Canis lupus familiaris: one gene and its partners. The protein of the gene in region 3 purifies or fractionates together with the protein of the main gene of each other region. This does not show direct contact. Links are inferred from orthologs where the notes say so. Each region holds a gene or a part of one and is shown on either strand. Other genes may lie near its edges.

Region 1 (4,818 bases), on a different chromosome or scaffold from region 3:
CACTGCAGTTTAGTGAAGCAAAATAAACAGGCCTGTCTCCATTGTTAAAGACCCCAGGCAATTAGTCTTTGAAGAGTTGCCCACAAGTTAGAGATCTATGAACTCCCATAGGTTGCACTGAGTTTGACCCCTTGCATAGAAAGTTAAAGCCAAGGTGCCTGGTACCTTTTTTTGTGATCAGATATCACTTTCCTTTGTTAGAGACCAATTTTCCTTCCTTTTAAGGCAATGAATCCTTAAACAAACCACTGAGACAACCCCATTGACTACAAAGAGGGTTATGTAACTGTTTTATATCTTGAATGTGGTGGTGGTTGCACAACTCAATATGGGTGTCAAAACTTATAAATCTATCCATTTAAAAGGTCAGGGTTGTTTGTTTGTTTAAGATTATTTATTTATTCTTGAGAGACACAGAGAAAGGGAGGCAGAGAGACCTAGGCAGAGGGAGAGGGAGAAGCAGGCTCCAAGCAGGGAGCCCGATGTGGGACTTTATCCTGGAACTTTGGGGTCACGCCCTGAGCCCAAGGCAGACGCTCAACTGCTGAGCCACCTAGATGTCCCTAAAAGGCCAGTTTTTTTTTTTACTGCACATAAATGATACCTCGATTAAGAACACCACCGCCAATTCGGTTTACTAACATGGAAAAATGTTTAATATATAATACTGACCTAGGAAAAAAAAGATGGTTGCACTTATAAAGTTCACGTAGAGATGCGAAAAAGGAGGAAATCTGGAGAACTTAAAATTGTATTTTGTTGAATAAGGAGATAAAACTCCATTTAAAAAATTTCCATGCAATTGATGCTATGAGTTCTGAGGCTATAAATGTCTTAAAAAGTGCTTACAAGTGTGTGGAGCTGTACACTTAAAATCCGTTCACTTTATGCACTTCATGTTATGTGTCAATTAAAAAGTTTTTAAGGAAGGCTTAAAGAAAACTTCTGGGTAGGAGTCACACAGGTATATATCCAAATTTTTAAAAAAAGCACTTAAACTTTGTGCAGGCTACTGTATATTACACCTCAAAACAAAACCAAACCAAACCAAACCAAACAACCCACCTGAAACTGAAACTATGCTGGCGCTGTAGTGCACGAGCAGTCAGAGCCCGCCAGCCATAGGTCCACTGACTCACCCCCAGAACAGGCCTCCAGTGGCGCAGCCGACCCCCGCAGTACCTGCTCCCCGTGGCCTGCGGAAGGGGGAGCCTCTAGGGGGGGCTGCGATCCTGGGGAAGGGGGAGCCTCTAAGGGGGACTGCGATCCTGCGCAAAGGCTCACGGCTCCCAGGCACAGCTGCCTCCGGGCCCAGCGGGAAGGCGGTGGACAACCGCGCCCCTCGGGCCCCACTGCGCGCCAGAGAATCGCCGCCTTCGGGCACCCCGCCACTCCACTCCGCTCCTGGGCGGCCGCACTGACGTCACCGCCCCACCGGCCCGCCTCGCGCCCCCGCTCCGCCCCGCCCCCTTTCCCGGCGTGCGCCGCGGTAAGGCTCCTCGCCCTCGGCTTCTGCCTGTCGTCCCAAGATGGCGGACACAATGAGCCGGCGTCGCGCCGGTTGGCCCTGAGGCGACCGTGAGGAGGAACGGTCCGCGAGCCCCCGCAGTCTGGCCCGAAGAGCGTCGCACGTGCAGGAGGAGGAAGGGGAGGAGGTGGGCCGACTGTCGGCTGCCCTTACGCTCGCCGCCGGCGCGGCGCCCGCCCCGCCCGGGTCGGCCCCTCGGCAGGCAGTCAGTCCGCCCGCCCGCTCGCCGCCGGGCCCCGCCCCAGCCCTGCGCCGCCGCCGCCGCCGCCGCCGCCTCCTCCAGCCGCCGCCGCCATGAAGCTGACCGACAGCGTGCTGCGGAGTTTCCGCGTCGCCAAGGTGTTTCGCGAGAACTCGGACAAGATTAACTGCTTCGACTTCAGCCCCAACGGCGAGACGGTCATCTCGAGCAGCGACGACGACTCGATCGTGCTCTACGACTGCCAGGAGGGCAAGTGAGTGCGGCGGTGGCCCTGGGCCCGAGCCCGAGCGTGTCGTCGGCCCGTTCCTCCCTCCCTCCTTCTCTTGGCCCAGCGCTCATCCCGCTGTCCGTCCCCTCCCCCGGCCCCGCCGCCCTCCCCCGGCCTGTTTTGCACTCGCTGCTGTCAGGGCCGCTTCCACTCCGAAGCCGCCCGGGAGACCTTTACTTTTCTTTTAAAAATGAGAGTGGTAAATAATATCCTTATCATTTCGTATGACTTCGGCCTCCTGGAAAAACGCTACTGCCTCGCTCTCCAAACCCCACCTTGACCTTGACCTTTAAACGCCCGGTCCGCCCACCTCGGCCCCGGCAGGCAGCTTTTCCGCTCCTCCGACTCTGTCAAAGGTGCCGGTCAGCTCCGACCCCCGCGCAGAACCGCAGAGGCTGCTCTCCTGCCTCAGTCGGCAGCGTCACAGCTCGCTCTGCCCTCCTCGGTGACCTCGATTCAGCCCTGGCACTCCGCCCATCCCCTGCCCCTCAGCTTCCCGCGGCCTTCTGCCGGAAGGCCGCGTGGGTCGTAGTTCTTAGCTGTCAGGATTTATTTGTTGTGCCTCTTTGGGCCTCCTGTCTTTTCCTTTCTGTTCCAAATCATTCTCTTACTCCCTCAGACCCGATGCCCACGTTTAGTTAACTAATGTAGTTAGTGGTAGTTAACTTTTTAACAACATCAGAAACTTTTCCTTTTTGTCAGGAAAAAAACGAACTTGGCCGTCCCATCCCGACCTGAGTGGGAACCTGCTATGAAAACAAAGAATACATTCTAATCTAACAATTTCATGTTTCCTCTTAGACACTTTTTTAAAAATTACACTTTTTAAGGGTCTGAAATTTGTGTTGCCCCAAGTCCTCTGGAGATCCATTGCACCCCATCTCTGTAAAGTCTTAAAAGCACATTTTGCCCTTTTCTCTGGGCATCTTGTCAGCTTCACCTACCCTTTGTAGACCTGCTTTGCTCTCTCCTTGTTAAATTGTGAGCTCCTTTGGAGCAGAAACTGGTTTAGGCTAGATTTTACTTTCCTCAGCCACCTTCCCCAAGTAGGTTTCCAGGTATTTGGTTTAATTCAGTGGCTACTGGTTTTGTCAGATTTCATTTTGTTACCTGGTTGCAGATCTTAGTTTTTGAGTCCTTGAGGTTTTCTATTCTCCCACTTTCCTTTTGCCTTTTATTTTGTTTTAAAACCAGTGCCTTCTATAAACTTTCGTTTGGAACTTATCTCTTCATTTGTGAATTTGGTTATCTAAAGTAATGCTGGTTTGATTTAAGCTGTATCTTCTCCCCAGTTTTTTTCCCCACGAGAGCTGTGAAAAAGTATTATGTAACTGGTTCTGGATCTGCCTGCAGTATATGGAAGACTGGCCTAAGTGGTGGTCCTGGGGAAAGAGAGAATTGTTAGCTGGACCATTATTCATTTAGTAGATGGATTTCTGTTCAGGTCTGGCCACTTGAATCAGCTTGGAAGAGAGTAACATATAAGTCTGCAGTGAGTGTCAGGGTTGCTGGATTCTGAAGCTAAAAGTAATTTGAAGCTGGCTGACTTAATGTTTAGTGCTTGTGCACAGATTAGAACCTCTTCCTGGAACCTGAGGATGGAGATGTATATTCTCATTCAAAGAAAATAAAGGTTGTGACATGTGACAGCATTTCTTAGTTGTCTTCAAATGTGGCATAATATCTACTCGTTGGAAGCAATGACAATGACTTGGAAGTCCTGTCTTGTTAAAAGTAAAATGCCAAAAAAAAAAAAAAAAAAAAGTAAAATGTTAATTTTATGACAGTGCAGTTTATTTACTCATGTAGCAATTTTACATATTACAAACTTACAGAAAACTTAAAACAGTATTTCAAATTTCCCATATCATCTAGTAATTGGCTACATTTTACCCCTTTTGCTTTATCACTCTATGTAAATATTTAGGTGTGCATTTTTTTCTGAACCATTAGAGAATAAATTGGAGGTATCAAGCCCCTTCTCTCTAAACACTTCAACATGGATTTCCTAAGCAAAAGGACATTCTTTTATATAACCAGAGCACGTTATCCAAATTAGAAAATTTAGCATTGCTATAATAGTATAGGGCATGCTCTTTTAAATTTTCTCTTATCAGTGAATTGTGACATTTGGTCTGTGGCAAGAGTGTGGCCTGGTAGTTAGGTGACCTGGGTTCTAGTTTGGCCTTGTGACCAAGTATATGACCGAGGTCAGATCACTTCTCTGAATATTAGACGTCTTACACCCTAAAGAGTCCATGATCTTTTTTTTTTTTTTTAAATGATAGTCACAGAGAGAGAGAGAGAGAGAGGCAGAGACACAGGCAGAGGGAGAAGCAGGCTCCATGCACTGGGAGCCCGATGTGGGATTCGATCCCGGGTCTCCAGGATTGCGCCCTGGGCCAAAGGCAGGCACTAAACCACTGCGCCACCCAGGGATTCCGAGTCCATGATCTTAAGTGGTAATGTGAAGGGAAAAAAAATTGCCCCTAGTATAAGTCAAACCAACATTGGTAGAAGAGTTACTGCTTTTTCGGAAGGCATAGTAGCTCTACTAAATGGTACTAATGTTAGAATTTGAGCTTGAAAATGGCTAAAACAATGTTCTTTATGCTTCATATTTTCTAGTTTTGTGTTCATTTTGTCCATGTTTTGTTAACATCCACTGAGTGATTTTTCAACATGAAAGAATATAAAAGATTGACTTCTGGGTGATGCAAATTATTCATAGAGCAGGCTTTAATATTATTTATTCATACCTGATCATAAGAATCATAATTTGTGGAAAGAAACTTCCCAAAATATTCATGGAAAAATGTA
Region 2 (4,943 bases), on a different chromosome or scaffold from region 3:
GCTGGGCCATCCGGCTGCCCTAAATAAATAAATCTTAAAAAAAAAATTAATGAATTAGATGAATTTAAATTAATATTTAAATATGTTAATTCAAATGGGATTAATCAAATCATATTAAAGTATAACAAAGTAAACAATATTAAATTGAAATTAAATGATACACAATACTGAACTGAATAAATTGAATTGAATGAATTGAATCAATATTTTATTTTTTATTTTTATTTTTAAAAAATATTTATTTAGTTATTTATTTATGATAGAGAGAGAGAGAGAGAGAGAGGCAGAGACACAGGAAGAGGGAGAAGCAGGCTCCACGCTGGGAACCCGATGTGGGACTCGATCCTGGGACTCCAGGATCGTGCCCTGGGCCAAAGGCAGGCGCTAAACTTCTGAGCCACCCAGGGATTCCCCTGAACTAATATTTTAAATAAAATTAAATTTAGTAAGTCAAGTCAGTGATGTTAAATTAAATGAGTAATTAATTTAAGTTAAACTTGAACTATATTCCCTTAAATTTACTTTCATACATCAAATTGTAATTAAGTTAAAATTGAATTATTTGAAATTTATTGGTTAAATTTATCTGAGTATCTTACCAACACATGCATATTCATTTATACTAACTAAAGTTAATTTAATACATTAAATGAACTAAATTCGAAGAATTATGTTAATTAAAATAAGTTACAATCAAATTAAGATTAATTCAGTATTAACTAGAAAAAGGAGGCAAGTCTGGATCTGAAGGTCCACTTTGTGGATTAAAGACGGGCTTTAGGGGATCCCTGGGTGGCGCAGCGGTTTGGCGCCTGCCTTTGGCCCAGGGCGCGATCCTGGAGACCCGGGATCGAATCCCACGTCGGGCTCCCGGTGCATGGAGCCTGCTTCTCCCTCTGCCTGTGTCTCTGCCTCTCTCTCTCTCTCTGTGACTATCATAAATAAATAAATAATTCTAAAAAAAAAAAAGAAGAAGAAGAAGACGCGTTTTAAGGAGAGAGGGTCACACAGTCCATGATGCAGCTCCTGTGACTTCGGTTGTCTGTGACGGTGTGGAGGGGCCACGAGTAAAAATGTCTAGGAAAGGTGAAAACAAAAACAAAAATCAGACCCGACACCGCCCTCAGGAGAATCATCAGGAGCAAGTACGTTACTATGATGTCCAGAGCCAAGAAATCCAGAACGACTGTCAGCACCCGGTGACAAGTTTCATTTTCCCCAGGCCCCCCGCCCCCCCAACCTGAATAGAGTCGTGACCCTGAACGCGGACATTCCCTGTGACCCGGGCTCGCGCATCTGCTGGGGGTTGGGGCGGGGGCGCTGACCCGTTAAAACCCGCCCGACCGCTCAGGTTGCCTGAGTTACAGCCTGGCCTTAAGGACGTGTCCAGAGCTCCGACCTGTCCGGTTTTTTTTTTTTTTTTAAATGTACGGAGTCTAATTAAAAAATTGTAAGAACTAACTTCATAGGAGAGAATTGAGTATGTCTGATGGAAGAGAGCCAGAGTGGACGTCACGGGGATCCCGGCGAATCCACATCCCGGCGGTGGCGGGGTCAGGGGAAGACGCGGTGTAGCCGGTGTCTCGGGTTCCGGGGTCTGCTGTGGCTCGGCCCCTTGTCACCAGGGTCGGGCCCTTCACCTGCATCCTTCCGTTCGGAGGGTGACCGCGCTCCCGCAAGGGCCGAGGCTGCAGGGCGCCGGGCTGGGCTGAGGACCTTCGAGGAGGACCCGGGGCGCGAAAGGGTGGTGAGGATGACGTCAGACACAGAACGGGGGAACATGGGCACAGTCCGCTGGCGCCCCATTAACACACGTGGGAGGGAAACGTGAGTGAATGGAAGACGGAGTGTAACTCGAGGCACGTGGTGTTTCGGGAGCAGCCGCTTTTCCTTTGAACTTCTCTGCAGGGCAAGCCGCCATCGTACGGAGTCGATGCCAAAATGGCGGCGCCCTCCTGGAGACCGCGGGTAGGACGCTGCCATGCATTGCCCGTGAACGTACGGACTCGGCCATCTTACGGAATCAGTTTCCAAGATGACGGCATCTGCGTGGAAGCCGCGCACAGGCGCCGCCATATTTCCTGTAACGTTGAGTCCGTACGAGCGGCCACCGTACGGAGTCGGCCGACAAGGTGGCGGTGCCCTCGCGAAAGCGGCCACATAGGTGCGGCCATGTTTCCTACTAGTTTACGGCCCTGACCGCCGTACGGTCTTGGTCGTCAAGATGGTGGCGCCTGAGAGACCGTGGCGGCTCTAGGCGGCGGATCGACTTGTTTGGTGCGGAGCCGACGCATTAGTCCTGCGCAATAAGAGTACGGTGCCCGGGAGGCGCGACCAAAGCGGAAGTAGTTGTGGGCGCCTTTACAACGGCCGCGGACGCCGCCGAGAGGTCTGTGCGGGTTCGCGGGTCGCTGGCGGGGGTCGCAGAGGGGTGCGCCGAGAGCGGAGAGATGGTAAGTACGGGGCCGGGGAGGGTCGGCGGTAGGGGTCGGCGGGTCGGCGGCGGGGGGTCCGTGGGCAGACTCGGGGGGTCTGTGGTGAACCGTCAGGGGCGTCCGCGGGCGCTCGGGCGGGGGCCTGTGGGGAGCCTCAGAGGGGGCTGCGGGTGGAATGTCGGGGTCCGGGGTTCCGAGCTTGTTCCGACGTGTGAGCCACCTGGGAGTTTTGTGACGGGCCCCTGCGCGGCTCCGTGATGGAAGTTAGTGGGGACGCCTTTCGGCAGCTCGTCGGGGGCCCGCTCGGGGACTGCGGGGCGGCGGGACCCGGCGTCTGGGCTGAGCCTGCCCGGCGGCCCGTAGCGAGCGGGGCAGTCGGCGTCGGGCCGGCGGGGAGGCGCGAGGGGGCGGGGCTGCCCGGGCGCTAGTGACCGTGACCGCGACCGTGACCGTGAGCGGGGCGGGGCGGGAGGTCGGGGTGCCGGCGTGGGCCGGGCCGGGAGGGTCGCGAGGAGCCGCGGTGGGAAGCGTGGGCAGACGGTCGCGGTCTGTGGAGGCCGTGGTGGGGCTGCTCTAAGGCACCGTCCCGCAGGAGGGGGACGGCTCCGACCCAGAGCCTCCAGACGCTGGGGAGGACAGCAAGTCGGAGAACGGCGAGAACGCGCCCATCTACTGCATCTGCCGCAAACCAGACATCAACTGCTTCATGATGTGAGCCGGGGAGAGGCGGGCGGGCTGACGCCGGCGAGGTTGGGTGAGGCTGATGGGTGCGGCCCCTCACATCTGCACCACTCACCCCATCCTCTGCAGCGGGTGTGACAACTGCAATGAGTGGTTCCATGGGGACTGCATCCGGATCACTGAGAAGATGGCCAAGGCCATCCGGGAGTGGTACTGTCGGGAGTGCCGAGGTGAGGGGGCGGCCTGGACGGGGGGCACACCCACCTGCCTCCAGGGAGAAGCCTTCAAGGAGGGTGGGTCCCGGGCCGAGGGACTCGGTTTGTGGTGAGCTGCAGCGGAGACTCCAACGGGCGCTTGGCTAGAGCGTCCCCCAGCGGGGTAGCCCTGCCCCGGAGGAGTGACGGGGAGAAGGTGGGGGGGACCAAGATGAAGAGGAACCCTCCGAATCCCTCAGGGTCCACCCACCCTGGCCCCACTGTCTTCCCCACAGAGAAAGACCCCAAGCTGGAAATCCGTTATCGGCACAAGAAGTCACGGGAGCGGGACAGCAATGAGCGAGACGGCAGTGAGCCCCGGGATGAGGGTGGAGGGCGCAAGAGGCCTGCCCCGGATCCAGACCTGCAGCGTCGGGCGGGGTCAGGGACAGGGGTTGGGGCGATGCTTGCTCGGGGCTCTGCTTCGCCCCACAAATCCTCTCCACAGCCCTTGGTGGCCACACCCAGCCAGGTGAGTGGCTGCTGGGGCTGGGATAGGTAAGCTGAGCCTCCCGCAGGCCCCGTACACGTTCCTGATTTTTGTACTGGGCCTCTCCCCTCAGCATCACCAGCAGCAGCAGCAGCAGCAGCAGCAGCAGCAGATCAAACGGTCAGCCCGCATGTGTGGCGAGTGTGAGGCCTGCCGGCGCACCGAAGACTGTGGCCACTGTGACTTTTGTCGGGACATGAAGAAGTTTGGGGGCCCCAACAAGATCCGGCAGAAGTGCCGGCTGCGTCAGTGCCAGCTGCGGGCCCGGGTGAGCATGGGTAGAGCTGGGCAGGGCTGGGGGTGTCAGTGTGTCCAGGAAAGGCTCGTGGAGGCCAGGAGGGGGCAGGCTGGGCGGGTGAGCTGGGGCCTTGCTACACACAGACAGGTGGGAAGGAGCCTGGCCTGTGTAGGTGAACAGGGCGTGACCAGGTGTGTGGGGCTAGCAGGGGCATCCCCGACCCCAGGTGGGCAGGGCAGACCCCCCCCCCCCCCCCCCGGCCATTTTCAGCGGTCAGGCACGTCAGGGCAGGTGGAGCAGGGTTGAGCATGTCCTGGTGATGTGAAGCGGGGGTACTAGGTGTGTCTGGGAGGCAACACAGGGCAGTTGGTGGGCTAGGCTCTTGTGGGTGGGGCTAGGGCAGGGCCACCCTCCATCCACCTGGGGCTGACCTGGGCCTTCCTCCTGCCGGCACAGGAATCGTACAAGTACTTCCCTTCCTCGGTGAGTCCAGCCCCCCAGGGCGGGGCGGGGCATGCGGGCAGGGCGGTCAGGGCCAGTCCTGAGATTCTGCCCTGCAGCTCTCGCCAGTGACGCCCTCAGAGTCCCTGCCACGGCCTCGCAGGCCACTGCCCACCCAGCAGCAGCCACAGCCATCACAGAAGCTGGGGCGCATCCGTGAGGACGAGGGGGCAGTGGCATCATCAGCAGTCAAGGAGCCACCGGAGGCTACGGCTACACCTGAGCCACTCTCAGATGAGGACCTACCACTGGATCCTGACCTGTACCAGGACTTCTGTGCAGGGGCCTTTGATGACCATGGCCTGGTGAGCAGCCAGAGCGTTCCATGGTGGAAGGGTGGAGGT
Region 3 (4,377 bases):
TCAGGGCCTTTGCACATGCTATTCACTCTGTGCATGATTTCCAGACTTAGCGAGTACCTCTCCTGTTTTAACTTTTTAAGTAGGCTCCACATCCAACATGAGGCTCGAACTCACAATCTCAAGAGTCGCATGCTCTACTAATTGAGCCAGCCAGGCACGCTTCCGTTTTAAGTTTTTATCGAAGCCTTTTTCTACTTTTCTGTGGCCTCTCCCAGTTATCCACGTGGCTCATTTCTTTACTCCATTCAGATCTGGCTGAACTGTCACCTCTGACCCCTCTGACTCGCCAATCCCTGACCTCCTTTCCTGCTTCTCCTACTTGAAATGCCATGTTTATATGTTCACTTGATTATTTCCTACCTCCTGTAAAGGATTTTCTTTCATTCCCTACTGTAGACCCAGAACAGTGCCTAAAATCACCCGCACTCAACAGACATTTGCTGAATCTAAAAAGGAAAGAATGAACTTTCTGGAAACACAACTCCACTATCCTCACATCCCTGATGAAAAACTCAGAGGCTCCCACTTTCCATCCTCGCCTCTCTTTTCCAACCTAAGCAGCCTGGTGAGGGGTAACACCCTCTGTGCCAGCCAAATTCCACAACCCCTCCTATAGCCCGGCACCCCAGCTAGGAAATCCCCCTGCCACTGCAGCCTGGGTGGCTCCGGTGTGTCTAGGCGCCTGATGGCAGTACCTGGGTGTCTGCTGGGGGTTCGTCGGTGCTGGCGCGGCTGCTGTTGAGGTATCTGAGCTTGTCCTTCTTGTCGATGGTATAGAAGCCCTCACTGCGGGCACAGCCCGTCACGTGCTCACGGATGCCATCATCCCGTTTCTTTTTCTTAGCTGAAGAGAGGCTGGTGGGTGGGTGTGGGTTAAGGGCCACATGGACATTCTTAGAGAGCCCCTCCCAGTCCTTCCAGAGACCAGTCCCACTGGGCCCAGCCTCTACCCTAAGGCCTAACTCCAGGGGGTTCTTCCCACCCCTGGAACCTAAGCCACCTCCATGAGGCTGCCCACTGGCCAGCTCTGATGGACAAAACTCTGCCAGGGGTACCTAGCTGCATGGCCCTGGCTGTTTCTTAGCCATTTCCTGCCTCAGTTTCCCCATCAGTAAACTGGGGTGATAACAATGCCTCTCTGCATGATTATGTGCTTACAGACTTCCTGCAACAGAGGAAGTGTTCAGTAAATCAGTTTGACATAATGGGGGTGATGACTGCTCCAACTGGATTGTGCTGCCTGTGGTTATTACCAACTATCAGGGCAACATCATGGTTAAGAGCCCAGATTCTGAGGGCAGACTGGCCTGGGTTCAAATCTTAGCTCTGGTACTTCATAGCTGTAGGACTTCAGGCAGGTAGCTTAACTTCCCCGAGTCTCAGTTTCCATATAAGATATGAATAACGGCCCCCTACCTCACTGAGCTGTTGGGAAATTAAATGAGGTGATGAGGGGGGCTAGGAAGAGTGGGCCCTGTCAGCCTCTGCTGCCAGGATGTTGTACAATCAGCCCTGAGACCTCCTAACTCTGGGGCTGAGATGAGCCTGACACAGAAGGTGTGTCTAGAAGTGCCAATGAGGACTCCATATGGAGTCTGGTGTGGTGCCAGCACAGATGCTGCTTGGTAGGAGATGGGCATTTGTGCTAGTGCCTCCACGGATGTCCTGGGAGATCGGGCCCAGAGAGGGGGATGAGGACCCCGCCCTGTCGGCTAGGATATAGGGATGGTAGACCCAGAGGGTGTCATTGAGCCAGTCCATGCCGTTGTCCTGCTGCAGCAGCCGCTCGTAGGTGACACACAGGAAGCGGATGTCCTCCTCGTCGATGCCACCATTCCAGATGTCATACAGAATGGTCATCTCCTCAAACTCGGACCGGGGCCGGAAGAGGGGTTGTGGTGGCGAGAGTTCAGGTGAGGCTGGGGCCACCAGGTCCTCGTGGCGCTTCTTAGGCGGCCGGCGCCAGGGCCCCCGAACCTTGGCCAGGTCCATGAACTCCTCAGTGACATCATCACGCCCGCGAGGGCCTGGAGGGATGGCCTCGGAGGGCCACTGGTTCTCTAGCTCCTTAAAGGGCAGCTTGGTGGGCTCAACAGGGGGTGGAGGTGGGGGTGGAGGAGGCTGGGGGGGCAGAGGTGGTGGGGGTGCTGGGATCCCCGCGTTCCGGAAGTCCAGGGTTACGGCCCGGGGGTCATGGGTACTGGGAAAGACAGGGGTCTGTGGCTGACCTGGCAGGAGGAGGAGGTCCCTGCCAAGGGCAGCCCCCGCCGGTGGCCGGACCAAGGGCCCATCCAAGGAGAGCACAGCCGGCGGGGACCGCCGGGGCCTGCCCGGCTTCCTCTTGATGGGGGGTGGGCAGGGGGTCAGCGGTGCTGGCAGCAGAGGTGGCAGCTGGGCAGGGGCCCGTGTCTGGGCCCGCAGGACAGGTACGGGCAAGGCCAGGGGCAGGGGCAGGGGCAAAGGCAGGGGGAGAGGCAGGCCTGTCTCCAGGAGCACCGGGGAGGCCAGGGGGCCAGACCGCTCATCACGTCGGCCAGCTGGGAGGGGACAGACAGGCAGGAGCAGGGGCCCACCAGGCTCAGGGAAGGTGGGTGTGAAGCTGAAGTCCCGACCAGGTGTCCTCGGGAGACCCCCGCTACTCAAGCTGGGGGACTGCGATGGGTAGGAGAAGGGGCTGCCAGGCACCTGTGGGGAACTCAGGGACAGACCGCTGCTGCCCCCTGACAGTGGGGGCTCCCCACTCGGTGTGGCTGGCACCATCTCTGTGCTCTGTGATTTGGCCAGGCTGCCACAGAGGCCGGGAGTACGCGGGGGCTGCTCCTCCGGAGGGGGCTCCAGAGGGGCAGGTGGATGTGCAGGGTCTGGGGTATCGGGCTCTGGTGGTGGGCTCGGCGGCCGGGGTGGTCGAGGGGGTGGTAGTGGCGGCTGCAGGGGTAAGGAGAGCAGCGGAGGGGGCTCCACTTCCAGGTCATCCTCTGCAAAGAGTTAGGCAAAAACCCGACCGTTACTATTCCATTCAAACAACTCTTGGTGCCTTATTTATGCTGTCCTACTATGTGCTTAATACCTGACCTCATAGTCCTCTGAGCCTCCTGGAGTTGAATACGGGGACTGTCCCCCTATAGCTATACTACTAGTATAGTAGTAGCTATACTACTCAAGGCTTCTCTGTGCCCAGCCCAGGGTCAGGCACACAGTAGATGCTTGAAAATGAAGGTGGAATAAATGAAAGACATAGGAGACATGGTTGCTAGCTAGCATTTGGCATTATGTCCTTAGAATGGTGATGTCCTGTGGATCAAGAAAATGAGCTCTGCTACTGAATAAAATAAATAAAATAAAATAATAAAATAAAATAAAATAAAATGTAAAAATTCAACAAGTCCCTTTTCTGCAGGACTTATCAGAGCCCTTCTCCTAGCATTTATCTTCACCGTCATATAATACATTTTTTTAACTTATCTGCTGTCATTTATCACCCAGCCCCAGAATGTAAGCTCCATGAAGGCAGCTATTTTTGTCTGTTTGGCCCACTGTTGTATTGTCAGTGCCTACAACAATATTCAAGACTGTGGTTCTGTAGACAAATAATACAGAATTAAACAAAATACAACAGGTTTTTTTGCTAAACAACTTATCAGAGGTACAAACTAACCACACATGGTTAAGTTTAAATTAATTAAACTTAAATAATGTTACAAATTTAGTTCCACAGTGGCACTTGCCACATTTCAAGTGCTCTTAGCAACACTGTGTCTAATAGCTATGGTATTGGCCAGGGCAGACAGAGGGCATCTTTATCGTTGCACAAAGTCCCACTGGATGGTATGTTAGAGCTTTTAATACACTTTGTGCAGTGCCACAGAAGTGGTGGTGCCCACAGCCCCTCTTACTTGGTCCAGCATCCCGGAGCCTCCCTCACCTGCCTGTCACTACAATGACCATGCACACCTGCTCTCCCATCCCCCCACTTTTCTGGGAGCATCCCATTGGGACTAATGGGCCAAGGACCAAACCATGAGGGGAATACTGGCACTGAGTACCTGTGACAGCAGTGGTTCCCTTAAGGGACTAGCACCTTCTGGCTAATGTGCCAGGCTCCATGCTGGCACACTGTGTCACCTCACTTTGTCCTCCCACAGGACCCCATTGGGGAGACACTAGCCATTGATCCCACATTACAGATGAGGAAGCTGGAGCTCAGGAAGGTTCGGAGATTAACCCAAAGGAGCCTGGGCAGGACATCCTTCCTCCATCCCCACCGCCCCACTGGGGGCTGCAGGTATTACCTGGGGTGCACTCTGGGGAAGGCGGGGGTCGGGCCTCCACCTCTCCAGCAGGGGGTTCTGGAGACAGCAACTTGGCCCCTTCCTCCTT

What was found. The genes of interacting proteins can lie anywhere in the genome.
Region 1: the proteins of SETD1B (region 3) and WDR82 purify together in Homo sapiens (affinity purification with western blotting; 4 studies listed by BioGRID, with this or other methods). This does not show direct contact. The link is inferred for Canis lupus familiaris from reciprocal best matches to the Homo sapiens genes SETD1B and WDR82.
Region 2: the proteins of SETD1B (region 3) and CXXC1 purify together in Homo sapiens (affinity purification with mass spectrometry; 11 studies listed by BioGRID and IntAct, counting the BioPlex papers as one, with this or other methods). This does not show direct contact. The link is inferred for Canis lupus familiaris from reciprocal best matches to the Homo sapiens genes SETD1B and CXXC1.

The regions. Positions count from the first base shown.
Region 1 is NC_049241.1:37,900,555-37,905,372, forward strand, and holds the start of WDR82 (WD repeat-containing protein 82), read left to right. Parts: upstream 1-1,513; 5' UTR 1,514-1,822; coding exon 1,823-1,983; intron 1,984-2,308; exon of another isoform or gene 2,309-2,442; intron 2,443-4,818. UniProt on the Homo sapiens protein: Regulatory component of the SET1/COMPASS complex implicated in the tethering of this complex to transcriptional start sites of active genes.
Region 2 is NC_049228.1:78,682,640-78,687,582, forward strand, and holds the start of CXXC1 (CXXC-type zinc finger protein 1), read left to right. Parts: upstream 1-1,638; 5' UTR 1,639-2,450; coding exon 2,451-2,453; intron 2,454-3,027; coding exon 3,028-3,146; intron 3,147-3,245; coding exon 3,246-3,346; intron 3,347-3,606; coding exon 3,607-3,842; intron 3,843-3,933; coding exon 3,934-4,128; intron 4,129-4,554; coding exon 4,555-4,581; intron 4,582-4,658; coding exon 4,659-4,904; intron 4,905-4,943. UniProt on the Homo sapiens protein: Transcriptional activator that exhibits a unique DNA binding specificity for CpG unmethylated motifs with a preference for CpGG.
Region 3 is NC_049247.1:7,680,244-7,684,620, forward strand, and holds part of SETD1B (histone-lysine N-methyltransferase SETD1B), read right to left. Parts: coding exon 4,290-4,377; intron 2,976-4,289; coding exon 1,722-2,975; intron 863-1,721; coding exon 696-862; intron 1-695. UniProt on the Homo sapiens protein: Histone methyltransferase that catalyzes methyl group transfer from S-adenosyl-L-methionine to the epsilon-amino group of 'Lys-4' of histone H3 (H3K4) via a non-processive mechanism.